Styela clava: one gene and its partner. The protein of the gene in region 1 purifies or fractionates together with the protein of each later gene. This does not show direct contact. Links are inferred from orthologs where the notes say so. Each region holds a gene or a part of one and is shown on either strand. Other genes may lie near its edges.

Region 1 (8,596 bases):
TATCCTCTAAAATAATAAAAGAATGTTTTCAACTCTATAAATTAAAAAGATTTGGGAAAAAAATTTATGTTAGCCACAGACAGACTTTAAATTAGCAATATCACCTACTATTTGTCAAATGCATTGAACACCGTAGTTAATTTTCCTTAGGTGAATGGCATCAGATGTATTGAATGAGATTTGTGGTCACTATATGCTTAGACTGACCTCCTTAGAAGGATAAACAAGAAACTTTTTCAACAAGTTGAGTGCCTCTGAAGATGCATCTGGTACAATTTCTTCAAGTGGTATTGGTGGATTGTCTGGAAATGTAATTTTATTGTAGTCTGGCAATGATGACATCCCGGGCCAAATACTTTCATTTGGTGTTCCTAGAACTCTCAGCACACAACACAACTGTTCAATGTCATTTTCACCCTGTAAAATAGCAATATGACAGCAGTCAGAATCATCTGCCAAACAATATGATTAATTTTCAATTAAGCAAAAAATAGTACAACAATAGCTGTGCTTTATGGTAATTGGTGACCAATATCATTTTCAATCGTTACTTTTTTGAAATACACATATTAGACATCAACAAATACTTACTGGAAATAATGGTGAATTGTTCAACATCTCACCAAAAATACAACCAACAGCCCATAAATCAACACCTTCATCATATTTTCTTGCGCCGTACAATAACTCTGGGGCTCTGTACCATCTTAACATTAAAACGGCAAACCATTAAGATACTAAAATTGTGGTGGTAGTAGACATAGAGAACAAAGTTTAATACGGGATGTGATTATCTGTATTTACGCTAGAAGTATCACTTATATTTAAAAATTAAATGGCAGTATCAGTGATAGAATCCATTATTCTATGAACTTATTACTTTTATGACATACTTTTGTGGCACATGACTGACAATAGTAATAAAAACTGTCTAAAAATATACCTTGTTGCAACTTGATGGCTATATTGTCTGTCAGAATCTTGATTTTGATAAACTCTTGCTAATCCAAAATCAGCAATCTTCAAATGACCCGTTGAACTTATCAGTAGATTAGCTGGTTTCAAATCCTATATTGTAAATTGTTTTGACTATTTTTTCTTTAGTGTAGTAGTGTTTGTAATCGGATAAGAAGGAGATAGTGCTTGGAACGCGCGATAAAATATTGAAGCAAAGTATGTTGAAGTAAAAATACCACCACACCAAGGGAGTAATAACTAGAATATATGGAAAAGCCTCCTGAAATGATCTAATAAATTTTCAATGATCAATAGTTTACTCACGCGATGCATTATGTTGCTTTTATGACAAAATGCAACTCCTTTCAACAGCATCATCATGTAACTTTTTATTTGACCTTCTGTCAGGGGTCGTTCAGAGTTTCGAATTACTTCAGACAAATCTGAAAGCATGTATTCAAACACCAAGACAAATCCAGTTCCATGGGGAAACACATCGTATAACTTGACAACCTATGAAAAAGAATAAAATGATGTATGTTGAGACTCAAATAATTGAAATAAGACATTACAAAAATGTTAGCATCATAGTTATAATCTCACATTTTGAGATTCTTCAGAATCTCCACCAATTTCCTGCAAAGCTTTAATTTCTCTCAAACCTTGATTTGGAATACCATCTTCTATTTTTCGCAAGGGAACCTTTTTTAATGCTACAACTTCCCCACTCTGAAAGGACAAAATCAAAGTAAAATAACTAGTTGTATAGGATAGGATTTACATATTTATCCCGGGGGAGAGGAAACCGATAAGACGGCTTATCCATATGACGAACCCTGGCCTCTCGTCCGGTTACCATTCCAAGTCGGGTATGGGATTAGTTTTACTGTATTGTTTGTTTTCGGAAGCATGGACTTGGTGGTGGAGGAAGCCGTAACCGACCAGCGGTTACGTGAACCACCCAACGACGGCGAGGAGTCCAGCAATCCTCTCGCACATAACCATCCCTGCATGGGATTCGAACCTGCGAACCCACGCAGAGTAATTAGAGGTGCGGTGGCGAGCGTATTCCTAACGCTTAGCCCGTTGAGCCACACCGCCGCGCCTGTATAAAATATCTTCATAAATTTATTTGGGATGACAAAGGTGTCAATGCAGCAATATGTTGTATGTTACCTTGAAAACGAATGTAACATTAAAATAGTGCGAACGTGCAATTGACGGTCATATGATCACACGGAGGTATGTAAAATTATTTCGGCGAATGATCACGTGATTCACTACAGACATTCTGTATCGCGCATTATCAACATGAGCAAAGCCCATCCACTATAATTAAAGAAGTTTATGGATAAAAGATTGGATTTAAAGTTGAATGGTGGACGATTTGTTACGGGTATATTGCGAGGTTTCGATCTTTTTATGAATCTAGTCGTGTATGATGGAACAGAGCGTAGAAAAGATGGGATCACTGCACCTGTTGGAATGGCTGAATGGTGGTCGTGCGTGGAAATTCGCTATTAATGTTGGAAGCATTGGAACGGATACAATGATTTTAAAGTGAACCAACCGAAAACGACAAAAGAACCCAATACCCCAATCCATGATTCGTGCATAGACTGCTATGGAACATCCAATCCATTTACCAAGCTTGTTTTTTAGTAAAAAATAATTTGTCACTGTGTTATTTTTGCAATATAGTTGAAGTAGGCCCACAACATCACCATTTTTCGTCAGCGAATGTTTTAATCCATATATCTGTATAGGAAAAGCACATACACGTCTCATATTTTAATTTGAATTTATAAGTTGTTGCCCGATGTTACATCGTGTTTTTGTTTTATTCTGTTTTTGGGCCCGTCCTCCAGGTCCTCTGTATTTTGTTTGTCCCTTTGTTGTTGTTTTGTGTTTTGTTTGTATCAGAGTGACCGAATAAAATTGATTGATTGAGACAACTTACTTGTATATGTTTCGCCTTATAAACTATACCGTGTGCACCTTCTCCAATTCTACCGAGAATGTGGTAATGTTCCATTTTCTGACGTTCGCAGCAATAAATAAACAAACTGAATATAACAATATCGGTATACAGGTTATATATACTGTACTCTATAAATTTATAGTTATTATAGGCCTACCGTTACGCTTTTTGGCATGTACCATACCGGTAACCAATGGAAACATCGAAATTAAGAATCTTGCTGTCTACCTTTGACCCCAAAACATTTCTGATCGGTTTTTATTTGTATGTATGTATGTTTATTCGTCTCGTAAAAGCAAAAACACAGGAGTTAGTAAATATCAACATTGAAGACGGGATGTATACACAAGACCATACTGGCCGTACGTATCTGAAACTGCAAATATTTAATTGGCAAGATCAACGATTAACATACCGGGCAAAATATAGCGAACATAAACCTTATATCTTTCCTATTTGATGCATCGATGGTTACTGATATGAAACCCGTTTGAAGTAAACATTATTAATTGATAGGCCGTGAGACAAGGCCCTGAAAAAAAGCCTAGAAAGTGAGTTTCGTAGCGCACGTAAAGAAACTACCTAAAAATAATTCTAAAATGTTCCTCCCTAGAAATTTAGTAACTAATAATACCTTGTTTCCATTTCCAAAAGTTGCACGTTTTACAAAAAAGACGCTTTTACCAGAGCCATTATATAATGGTTCTGCGTTTACTACAAGAAATATGTGCTACGATCTTTCCCATATTCTCTGCTTTTACGGCAACATTGGCCAATGAAAGCGGACTTCTGTATGACGTAACAATTAAAATTTGATCAGCTGTTAGCAGGCGGATGAATCTCAGTTATTACGGCTCGATGTTGCGTTTGGTTGGGTAGCCTTTCCATCGTCTTTTTTAGTTTGTATTAGTTGAGTTATGCCAAGACGGTGTTAAAAAATATAAGTAAGTTATTAAACACTTGTAGATCTCTATCATGGATCGGCGCGGCGGTGTGGCTCATCGTGCTGAGCGTTAGGAATACGCTCGACACCGCACCTCTGATTAGATTCGCAGGTTCGAATCATGCGATGATGGTTATGTGCGAGAGGATTGCTGGACTCCTCGCCGCCGTAGGGTGGTTCACGTAACCGCTGGTCGGTTACGGCTTCCCCCATCATCAAGTCCATGCTTCCGAAAACAAACAACTAACTAATCCCATACCCGACTTGGAATGGTAACCGGACGAGAGGCCGTGGTTCGCCATGTGGTTAAGCCGTCATATTGGTTTTTCTCTCCCCCGGGATAAATATCCTTATGGGTATAGGCCATGAGAAGAGGCCTTGAGAAACGCCCAGGAAATGAGTTCATAGCGCACATCTGATAACTAAATAAATTCTTCAGTTTTGTATGAAAATGAACATACTGAACGCTTACAGCTTGTTCCACAATCATTATGCGAAATTGAATATAAGGGCGTTCCCAGAAAATGAATGATCATAGGTTTAAAACAACACAGCATAAGAACTATGCAATTCAAGAGCCCCACTAAACACTAACTCAAATGTATTTCTGTAACGTCCTCTCTGACCAGAAGCAGACAGGCAGTTTACAACAAAGAACAGCATAAGAAGTTGCATTCATTTTATTAGAAGCTATGAGACGCATTTATTTTTAAGCAATGAAGTCACAAATTAACATCGTGATCACAAAAACACAAATAAATTAGTTATTTCTCACTTCAAGAAAAATCAAGAAGAAAATCAAATGAATACAGCATGTACATAACATAGTGAACAGAAATATTATAAGTCTTTTTTTATTTTATGTGGTTGTGTATTTGAAACAAAAGCAATATTATTTTTTCTAGAAACAGGATTACGACACTAACAGATGTCTGAAAAAAAAACTAATAAATAATATTTATCAAATTGACTTTAATATCTTATTCACTGTCTTCTGAATTGCTTCCGAAATCCACATTCTCGTAAATCGACTTTTTCTCTATACGTGTACTGTGATTTTTGCAGTCGATACAAAAACAATTGGCAAAAACCTGCACGGGAGAGATTTCACCAACGTCTTCAGTCGGTCCCGCAAAACGAGAGCGAATCGCACTCTAAGTTCTATCTATATATATAGCTCGGGTACTACAGATTTAGGCCAGTGCTCCGCAACCTTTTTTAACTTGCGGCACGCTTATAAAACTTGCCAAATTTGACGGCACATCACAACAAGGGAAAAATACAAGATGTAACTTTGTTTTATGTTCATATAACAATGAGAGAATTGTGGTTGTTTTAATGAGCACAATCGCTCTATATTAGGATCATTACGTGACGCGCAATCAATATTGCAACACGATAACTAGTTTCTAATGTTCTTTCGGAGACTGTAAAAGACGACTTCACAGAGCACTCCTGCTTCTTATTTTGACTTAACACCAGCTGGAAATAATTTATATTCCTGCGTGCATGAACGGCATATTCCGTATTTAAGTGGCGCATAAGTCTACTCAAAAACATTGCTTCATTTGATTCATATTTGACTTAATCTTCCCTGTATTTCCTTTTGACAATTTTTTTTTTCCAACGTTGCTTGTGCTAGGTACAATATGTTGCTCAGTATCAGCTTTTCTTTTTGAAGATTTATCTATTTTGCTAAGCTTTAGCGTTCCTCGACATTTTTAATCAAAGACAACTGGGCACTGATTCTGCAAACTCACACTTTATTTATATTCGATTACTAAACGTGCTATGTTTTAGCAATAGGATTTACAATATACCTGCTTGTCATATAGGCTCCTTGTTACGTCACAAATGCACAGTGGGGGGTGTCAGGAATTTGAATTGGTGTCGCTCAAGCTAACGTAAAAGCAGGTGCCCATATTATTGCTCCTTGTTACGTCACAAATGCACAGTGGGGGGTGTCAGGAATTTGAATTGGTGTCGCTCAAGCTAACGTAAAAGCAGGTGCCCATATTATTCATCCACGACTTACGCAAATTGAAAAAGAAAAACCAGACAAATCAGGTATGGTACGCTGGAATCTATTAGTGTTTCATATTTAATAAGAAACGAATCAATATCAGGCAAATATGCACGAAAAATCGACGCCAATAATTGATTTCTGTCAAATCGTAAATATATAGCCTACTACTACAAATACAATGAGAAATGCATATTTAAAAGTTGGATGTGTATGGAAGTTGGAACGAGAGAGCCGCAGAAATGAGAGAGAAGCACTCTCTCTGTGGTTGTATTGTCAAAATGATGATGTCATTATATCAGCTGTAGTGACAATCGGAGTGCCAGGTTAAAACTGAAACATGTGATACATATTACATTTGTGTTGCGTTTTGTTGCCCCATTTTTGTCGATGACGGCCTTGACAAAAATGGGAGTGTAAGGTTTATGGCGGTCATTTGTAACTTCATATATTGTATCAGTCGATAATGGAAATATTTTAGATTAGTAGGTACAGATTATGGTGAAGTGGTTTGCCGGTAAGCGAAGTTCATTTATTATTACACTATCATTAAATTTAATGTAGATGTCGCGGGACAGTGTTTTCTGATGTTGTTTAATTAGTAAAGTTTGCTTGCCTGTCCATCTATTTTAATAGCATCGGTAGTACCGTATAGTTTTTCACACGCTTTTTAATAATTATATACAGGTATATTAGTATTACAGTATTCAGGTATTATAAAGGCTAAATGCTGAAATTTGGATTCAGGGATTTTATTTGAATTCTAACTGTCTGGTATTTCAGAATTTGGTACCGGTATGGGTTAATGGTATTACTTTACTATCAATGGTTTATTATAAGTCTTATGTCTGTATGACTAGATACCCCATAGTACTGTAGTATTTGCATCATTCTGTCATCAGTTCATTATTATGGTGTAGCCTATGATTCTGTTGAACTAGTCTACTGGACTAAAAGTTTAACCATAATTTCTTTTCAAGGAAAGTGGAAGTGGGCACTTGTTGGAGTTGCATCTTGTGCAACAGGAAGCAGTTGCCTTCTTTATTTTGAGATAGAGAATTTGAAAAAAAATCTTCATCCGTCATTATCTGTATTAGATAGAGAAAAATACAGATCTTACATATATATTAGGTAAATTAATTGACTATATAGTTGCCAATTGTTCCCCTGCCATTGTTTTTGTCATTATCTTCAAAGCGTGCTTTTTTGAATCGGTAAATTGTGCAATACTCTGATCCTTGAGTGTGGGTATCAAGCCAGTGTACAATAATACAGTAATGCTGTAATAGGTACAAAATGGCCTTGGACTAGCATTTTATAATAACTCGGGAAGTATTTTGTTGTCTTCAATGGCATATGCATCAACAACTAAATGTTCTAATTATATGTAATTTATACATCAAGGAATTTATCACTTTCAATTTTTTCTATATTTGTAGGCCAGAACAATTTGATCTTCTGAACAGCCATCACTGGAATGAGAAAGGCTTGCAACATTTATACTCTGAAATTGAAACGTATATCATCAATCATATTCCACCGAGTATAGGTGAGTTATATTTAAAGAAACTTTTCATGTGATCACTTTCTACCTCAATTACGAATCTTTAGACAAGCAGTTATTTAAATATAGGTATCTTGTATTGATAGCTTGTATGTGCAGTAGGGCACAGTTCTCCGATTCCATGATGTTCTGACATTCGGTTCAATATATCAAACACTTTATTTGTCTTTGAAACGGGTGTTTTGGCAAGACGGCAGTCACGTTTGATTGCGCCATGCTTGTCTTGATAATAATTTAAACCAATCGCACCAGCCGCAACATGATTAAAATTGCTATAAACTCACGAATGCTATGATAGAAAAAAAATTCTCTCAGTTAATCAGCCTATATTTTTCCAAAATGTGAGTTCCAACCAAACAGGTGGTATAACAACAATACTAAAATATACAGTAGATAAAATGTAAGGGAAATAGTTGTATATGCAACTCTAATGCAAGTATATCTAAGCTTGAATCGTTGCATGTAATACACATACTCTGAAAAGGAAAACTGGCAAAACCTCTAATTATGCTGCGTGGGTTCGAAACCCATGCGGGATGGTTATGTGCGAGAGGATTGCTGGACTCCTCGTCGCAGTAGGGTGGTTCACGTAACCGCAGGTCGGTTACGGCTTCCTTCACCATCAAGTCCATGCTTCGAAAACAAAGAACTAACTAATCCCATACCTGACATGGAATGGTAACCCGACGAGAGGCCGTGGCTCGCCATATGGTTAAGCCGTCTTATCGGTTTTCCTCCCCCCGGGATAAATATGTAAATCCTTATTCTGATACATTTAAAAGATTTTATTCTAATAATGAGATTCACACTCATTATCTCTTGTCCCAGCAAAGCATCTTCCAATCAAATTGTTGAAAGGAAGAGAACTTCAAGCACAACGATACTTATCACCATGGCAGTTGTTGAAAGAAGCTTCGACACCAAGTTCTAATATTGCACAAGATGTCATTGATAAAATAAACAACCATAAATGGATGGGTTAGTATTCAATTTCAGAACTAAATTTATCTATGCCCACTCGTCAATACTATTCCATTTAATTATATGTTTTGAAGTTTTGCTGAGATAATATATTATTGCTGATTGGCATAAATACCTGATTTAGAATGTTAACTAATAATTAGTGTT
Region 2 (8,139 bases), on another chromosome or scaffold:
TTATGCTCTTTCTAATCATTGCCAACTTCCTTTCTTAGCTAACAAACATGTTCAGTTTAAAATCGGAACTGTTTAAAAAACAACAGGAGGTGACTTCAAAGAAATCTGGTCAAATAGTTACATCGGCAATCAGAAAACAACATAAATTGAAAAGTTCTTCAAATGGGGAGGGGAAAGTACCTGAAAATGAGAAGAATCCGGGAGTTGAAGAACGTAACGCAAGAGATATTGCCGAAACATCTGAAGAAATAGATAAAGGGAAAATGGTGAAATCTGTGCTGGAGGTGAAAATGAATTCTTTTGTAATAAAAACTATTATACCTTCTTTTCGGATTTGTTGTTTTTTGCGATTATTGGAGATGAGGTTATAGGTTTTGCATTCCCTGGAAGAAAATTTTTCTATTATGTGCTGATTTCTTTACCTTTGCTCAGAGATGAGTCTCTTTTACTCCAGAGTGACTGTTTGTAACTTTGCTCAGATATGAGTATCCTTTACTTTGAGTGAGTGCATGTGACTTTGCTCAAAGATAGGTTTTATTCACATGCAATGCACTAAGCTTAGGTCACCGTCTTATTACCTATCGATCTTAAGATTGGTAAGTATGTTGATAGGTATCTGTCTGTCTGTTAGATGAACGCGATATCTCACGAAGGCGTAGTTGAATCTAGTCCAAACTTTGCGTGTGCATTCATCATATCTCGGACCAGCAGCCTATTGATTTTGGATGAATTATGTCTCATAATTAGCGAGGTATTAATTAATTAGTTATGGGACACGCGGATTCACTATAGAGTCATGAATCGAAACTGCAGTTTTGATCGATAAGTCTTTGGTCTCCGACTGATATTCTCGTTCATAATTCATTGGCTTTGACTTGTCATTATGATTGAGCGGTCTCATCAGCTTTCTTACACATTGTCATATACGGTAAGTAAAATGTTTTTATTTTATTATTCAAGGCCAAAGCCAAACTCTATGAGAAAATGTCATCAGGAAACCTGTTGCCAGATGAAGAGAGTTCTTCATTATTTCTGGTTGATTTTGAGCAGAAATCCATGGATGCCAGATTACAGAAGACAAATAATGAACTGGATATCAAACCAAAAGTTGGTGTAAATGTGGCAACAGAGTTAGGTGAGCAATTGTAAATCAAGGATTTTGTAGGGAATTGAGAATCTTAGGAGAAGTAAGCTGGTACGATCAGTAATCAGTAGTTTATTTGTCACCATACTTTTTACCAAGACATACAAATTTCAATAAATAACAAGAGATCGATGCTCAAATATATGGACACGGTGTAGTATCGTATACAGTCTACTCCGAAAATTTCAAAGCATTTGGTCCAGTACTCAGAAAGAAAATTGATTTTTTTCTGTGACAACGAACAACAACAACATAATAACGAAGCGATCCATATGTCCACTCTATGTCCAATAAACAAACCGCGTTCCAGGGTGAAGGAGACGCAGAAAACCAATACTGGTTATCAGCACGAGCAGTGGTTTTCATAAATAACTCGGGAAATTAATATAAAAAAATGGAACTATGTATGTTAATTGAAAAAAATACCATGAGGCGATCTGCTATGCACAGCAGTCGTACACGAAACAGAAAACGACTCTGAGCACCACTAACTCTGTCCCCATGAAGTTAGCAGTAGTGAGGCAGTCTAGAGCCTTTTTCAAATAGATGTGTAACAATCAATTTAAAATATTTCTTTTCTTATTCTCAGCTTCTGAACTCCAGAAATCAGAGAATGAATGGGTTGAATATACAGATAGTTTGGGTCGGACGAGAGCGTGTTTGAAAAAAGATCTGGACAGAATGAAAAGAATGGATGAAAAACTGAATGAAGAAAAGAGAAGAAAACCGGAAATACAGGAACCTGGAGGTACTGATAAACCATGAAATTCTGAAGCTTTATATTACCTTATTAACTTTGTGTTGTTCATTCACTTTGAATGAGGCTGGTTTCAGGCAGTCACTGATATGTAATAAGCGACTATGTTATAGTAAATGTGTAATCTTCCTCTAAGCTCATTAGTGCAATATTAGTGGGAAGCAAAATCATAGAAGAATCTTAATTCAATTTCACTTGGAAAATTTCCCTCTTCAATTTTAAAAATTCTTCAAAATTTCTTTTTTACAATAAATTTTCCCATTTTTATCAGAGTTATTTTACAGTAATTCATAATTTTCAAAGTTGATAAAAATAGTAAGGGAGAAACCTAACCATGAGGATATGTACATCTCTTGATTATAACTCTAATAGTTATCTCTAAATAAAGAGTAGGATAGGATAGGATTTACATATTTATTCCAGGGGACCACAACCACGGCCTCTCGTCCGGTTACCAGTTCAGGTCGGGTATGGGATTAGTTAGCCAGTTATTTGTTTCCGGAAGCATGGACTTGATGGTGAAGGAAGCTGTAACCAACCAGCGGTTACGTGAACCACCCTACGTCGGCGAGGAGTCCAGCAATCCTCTCGCACATGATCATCCTCGCATGAGATTCGAACCTGCGAACTCACGAAGGGTATTCAGAGATGCGGTGGCGAGCGTATTCCTAACGCTTGGCACCAGCAAGCGGTACCTGGCCAACTTATTAAAAGGACTAAGCCACTCTATTAAAACACATTTCCTAATAATTTTCTTTTTTTGACAGAGAGAACATTGCTGTCTGATGACATGCGACGTGAAATAAAGCGTGAACAATGGGAGAAAGAAGCAGTAGAAGAGATCAACGGACCACTACATTACGAGGATTTACGAGCAAGAGAGATTCGAGAACTCGGCGTCGGATATTTCGCATTTTCGACCGATCAAGAAACAAGAGACACACAGATGAAACTTCTTCGTAAAATGAGAGATGAGACGCAAAAGGAAAGGGAAAATGCCAAAGACGCAGAGAAAAAGAAACGAACAGCGTTGCAAGCGAGATTAGAAAAAGTTCGGTTGGGGAGAATTAAAAAATTAAAAGCACAAGGAAAAGAAATTCCTGAAAAATTATTAAAACCGATTGAACTCTCACCACCGGAGGCAGAAGAAGAAAAACCGACACAAAGTGATGTCACGATAGCTGAAATCACGAAGCGTGACGATGGAGTTCGCAAAGAACGGGAGTGGGATAAAGGAAAAGAGTGGTTGCCCGCAGAACCTACAAAACCACCAAAAAGTTGGAAAGATCCTCATAATGAGCGACTAGATGAATTTGCCCCTCCATCCTTCTACTATGACACAACAAAGGATCATAAACATAATAAAAATAAAAGGAAATATCCGCAAAATAACACACACCCAATTAACCCTTTGAGTACTTCATATAGTGACAGTTTAACCCATATTAGACACGGCAATTCTCAGAGCACATCCAATAGGACAGACAGTGCTAGTATAAAAACTGAAGAAAAATTGGGGGACCAATTTGGTATTTTGAACACTTTGGGACAAAAAACAAATTTTTCATCAAATTCAACTGCGACAAATCCTGGCATTTCCGCAGACATACAAGAAAGAACTGATAGAGTTCTGGATTATCTTACTAGTTCCAGTATAAAACAGGAAAATTCTGGTGCTAGCTCGATTTTGGGTGAAAATAACCCTGATCTGGGCAAGAAAGAACCAAAAATGTATGAAAATATTGTAGAAAATGATGTAAATATGTTTGTTCCTACTGATAAACCAATAACAATGAAAATTAAGCAAGTGCCTAAAAAATCGAAAGTTTTGGTGTCAAAATCTGCGTTTTCTGATGATTGATTTTTGTATATTTACTGTGAAATTTTTTGTTTTTTCCTTTGGGGTCCTTTTCCAATTGGGGTCAAAGGTCATTTTCAATGTGGGGACAAAATTGCTGCCACCTACCAGCATGTTAAATGCATTGAAAGACACTATTAGTGATAAATCTCCTTTAGTTATTAGGGATGGGCCGAGATTCGGATTCGAGTCGAATCCACGCATTTTTTGGACTCTGATTCGATTTCGAGTCCACGTCATTTTTACCGAGTCTATAATCAATACTGTTTTTACTAATTTACGCCTATGTTTGTACTTTTACCTCTATAAATCTCAGCACATACCCTAACTCAGGGGTGGGCAAACTGTGGCCCGCGGGCCTAATCCGGCTCGTTGGGGAATTCAATCTGACCCGCCTGAACTAAAACCAAATTTAGATGCCTTAGCTAAAAAAAAAATAGCCCAAGAAATTTGTTGAGATCCTGACTAAATATAGTTTTGGCACGAAGCTATTTTTTTCCACTTTTGCTTTTGTAACACTGTTAATATTGCTCGTAAAATGTAACCTTTTACGTCACATTTACATGGCCCGCCAGTCTAGATGGGCAAAATTTTTGGCCCCTGGTCCTGCCCTAACCAATCAAAACGCATATTAAAAACTATTGATCGCTTATAACAAAGCTGTCGCCTTCAAAAACTATATATCCTTTTTGGTATACATGTGAACATTAGCGCAATACTTTTGAGTCTTCGATTCGCGTATAATGAAACATGCCTTGGATCAACCCAGGGGGGGAATTTATTCATACCTCTTTTAAATTGAGTTTATTACGTGTAATCTTTTCCCTAAAGAGAGAGCAATTGAAAACATGGCAAATTTTAGAATTTTACATGCACTACTAAATTTCAAGCAGATGTACAACATTGTATTGGCATGAGTGGCATCTACCATTTGCGCACACGCACATAGTAAGAAGTATATGGAATTATGTAGAAGCAATGTAGTCAAAAGCTTTTTATTTTTCATATTGGCATGTAAGAATTTCGAAACAGCCGCCTAGAATTATCGGTGGTATGAGCTACGACGTATGTTTGTGAGCGCACGTTGCTGTAGCATGGTCAAAAACGTGTTTTTCGGCTTCTCCATTATGACATCACGGACTCGGCAGATTCGATTCGAGTCCTCGACCTATTACTCGGATTCGTCGAATCTCTGTAATTCCGGACTCGTCCCATCCCTAATAGTTAGTAAGTCGGTGTGATCAAATATATTTTATATTAATTATAAAGTGCAACTTTAGTTTCATTTTGCCTATTTTTCACAGAAATATTAAAGTAGTTTAATTAGTTTTTTAAAAGAAAAAATGGAAGACATAACTGACAAAAAACCTGAGGATGCCAGCATTACCGTAAACTTTGAGAATCTCCATGCTAATATGGCATTGAATACTTCAAGCGGGGAGGAGCCCAAAAAATTTGATGACGAATTAGGAAAGGGGGAGGACCTATCACAAAAATTTCAAAATTCTCCCGAGAATGACGCTATTCAAAACGTTGACTCGTTAAAAGAAAGTCATGAAGATTTGAATAAATATGGTGAGTCAGCAGATGAGATTGATGATACAGCAAATAATAGTGATGACTTGGCAAATAAAACTGATTACTCAACAAATAATGGTGATAACTCAGCAAATAACGGTTCTGAAATTAAAACTGCTGCGTCAGCAGATAATGAGGATGGTGAAGCAGAAAATCTGGCAACTATGGCTAAAGAGATTATCAAAAATGCAGTGGATGGAGCAAAACAACAAGTAGCCTCGGAGATTGAAAATAATGCGGCGCAAGATGTCGAAAAGAAAGAAGAATGGCTAGATATTCTCGGCAATAGTTTACTACGGAAAAAGATTTTAAAAAGTGGGGAGGGGAGAGATTCGAGACCTAAACGAGAAGAAGAAATTACTGTGAGGTACGAAGCAAAACTAGAAGATGGAACACTCGTTGAGAAAAATGATGATTTAGTTTTCGTTCTCGGAATGCAAGATATCTTGGATGCTATTGATATTTCCGTAGCTTTAATGGAACGAGGTGAAGTGGCGGCAGTAGAGAGTGATGCTAAATACGCTTACGGAAGCGAAGGAAAATTACCAGAAGTTCCACCAAATGCAAAATTAATTTTCGAAATTGAAGTTTTGAAAATACAGGACGGCCCGTTTAGTAGCACTATTGACTTAGATCGAAGAATTAAGTGGGCGGACGCAAAACGACAAGCCGGGAATAAACTATACAGTGCGAAAAAGTATGATGAAGCGACAATGACGTACACTAGGTGCACCAAAGCGCTTGAAAAGGGCTGGATGTGCGAGGAATCGGAAGCAGGGAGGGTACGCATCAACGAATTGAGGATTAAGTGTTATAATAATTTAACAGCGTCACAAATGAAGCAAGAGAAATGGCAAGATGCGTTCAAATCTTGCCGTGCTGCAGAAAAATTGGAACCCAATAATGTGAAAGCGCTTTTTAGAAAAGGAAAAATTCATGTTATGCTTGGAGAATTAGATAAAGCAGTTGATGTTTTAACGAAAGCAGGGAAATTAGAACCTGAAAACAAAGTCATCGCAAACGAAATTGCAAAACATAAAAAGAAATTGGATAAACAAAAAGAGTCGCAGAAGAAAATGTACAGACGAATGCTCGGTACTCCAGATACTAGTGCTTCAATGAAACCAGAAGAGAAAACGTCATTTTGGTCTCAGAACTGGGGCCGTGTTGTTGGTGGAACTCTTGCTATTGGTGCTGTTTTAATTGGAGTCTTTCTCGCTCAACGAAGCTAAACATTTCAATAATTTTCTGATAATTTTTCTGACAATATGGCATCCCTAATGTCAAATACCTATTCAATGTCTAATTAATAAAATATGGCTATTTGTTTAACCCTGTGTCAGGGAATATTAAATCAACAAATTCCTATATGAAATTCTATTTTGATATTGAAGGAACTGCAAAATATCGCATGGGTTTGCTCATTTTACCGATATTATAATCTGTGATGATTGTAATCAACTTCTTGGAGCTTCAGCTGATGGTTGCTCGCCTTCGTTTTATTTCAGTGTGCCATTCATTTCCTTTCTTTACAAAGAAATTTTTTGCAAAAAATAACTATTATTTGTTGACTGTTCATGTTTAATTACACAGAATTCTTTCGATTCAGAGTGTGCGAGCGTGACCATTTAACAGCAGGGGGTTGATGCTGTTTCAATTTTTAATCTCAGCTTTGTCATACTGTATATTTGCTTGGAGCTTTTTTTCAAAATCTGGCATCCCTCCTCTGCTGTCTCTGCAATTGAAAATGTAGGCGTCCAGGTATTCTTTGCATACATGATGGACTCTGAGGGACCGAAATTTTTTTAATAGTATTCTATTATCACTGTAATGTAGTATAAGTGGGTGGACCCCTGGCATTATTTGTGGCCCTGGTAGAAGCACTTTGTGGGCTACTAGAGAGCAGGAACCCGGCTGGGAAACCCCGGCCTTTGTTACGGAGTGATCACCCAAAAATATAAATTTGAATTAATTTCACATAAATATTGATTTTACTGTTCTAATAGTTAATATTATCATGCTTGTTGTGAATATTTAGATACTTAAAAATTGTGATTCCCTAAAAAAGTTATTTTTAGGTTTATCCGGAATTAAGTTCATCGTACAATTCCTCTACCAGTAGGGTTTTCTGCAGCTTATTTCAATCCAGATCATCCAAAATGTTGGCTTTGTATAATTTTACTTAAAAACTTTAATACTCTAATGGTGTACTTACAATTATTATGAATATTTGAAATAGCAATTCCCTGTAAAAGCCATTTTAGGTTTACTTTAAATTGAATTTAAATTTCATTAGTAGATACATCCATGGGAATGCTATAATATATACAGTGATGATTTATTAGCAAATTATGATTTTATTTCTTTTTTATTTTTACGTGTGTATTCCATTCTCTTATAAATGAGAGAAGGCTCTCTATTAAAAATGGAGTTGCGATTCTCTAAGAAAACCATTTTATGTTTGGTTTGAATCCAAATCCTTGTGATCAGTTGATCCATCCATAGAAATGCTTTAACATTGCTTTTAACTTATCCAGTGATAAATTAATAGCAAATAGTGATTTTGCTCTTTTTTTCTTTTTTACTCGGTTCTCTCTCGAGAGAATGTCAAGAGGTCGCTATTAAAAATGGAAATAGTGCTGATAGAAAAGTTGTATTCTCATAGCTATATTTTTTGATCTGTTTGATTTTCGGTTGTAAGCAATTGCTGACATGCTGATAGATTGTATATATGTGTCCAAAAAATTTTGCTCAATTTTATAATAATGACAATTAAAATTCTCTTCGTTTTCATTTATTTCC

What was found. Proteins that work in one complex are often made in the same cells at the same time.
Region 2: the proteins of cyclin-dependent kinase 20-like (region 1) and peptidyl-prolyl cis-trans isomerase FKBP8-like purify together in Homo sapiens (affinity purification with mass spectrometry; 5 studies listed by BioGRID and IntAct, with this or other methods). This does not show direct contact. The link is inferred for Styela clava from reciprocal best matches to the Homo sapiens genes CDK20 and FKBP8.

Annotation. Positions count from the first base shown.
Region 1 is NC_135258.1:20,402,748-20,411,343, forward strand, and holds the start of cyclin-dependent kinase 20-like, read right to left. Parts: upstream 3,700-8,596; 5' UTR 3,584-3,699; coding exon 3,573-3,583; intron 3,024-3,572; coding exon 2,918-3,023; intron 1,687-2,917; coding exon 1,561-1,686; intron 1,471-1,560; coding exon 1,282-1,470; intron 1,069-1,281; coding exon 944-1,068; intron 707-943; coding exon 592-706; intron 418-591; coding exon 208-417; intron 7-207; coding exon 1-6. Other genes in the region: protein SERAC1-like, read left to right, coding at 6,403-6,421, 6,885-7,035, 7,344-7,453, 8,297-8,446. UniProt on the Homo sapiens protein: Required for high-level Shh responses in the developing neural tube.
Region 2 is NC_135250.1:31,185,606-31,193,744, reverse strand, and holds the start of peptidyl-prolyl cis-trans isomerase FKBP8-like, read left to right. Parts: upstream 1-4,982; 5' UTR 4,983-5,102; coding exon 5,103-6,569; 3' UTR 6,570-8,139. Other genes in the region: coiled-coil domain-containing protein 174-like, read left to right, coding at 48-284, 961-1,135, 1,734-1,892, 2,669-3,762. UniProt on the Homo sapiens protein: Constitutively inactive PPiase, which becomes active when bound to calmodulin and calcium. Seems to act as a chaperone for BCL2, targets it to the mitochondria and modulates its phosphorylation state.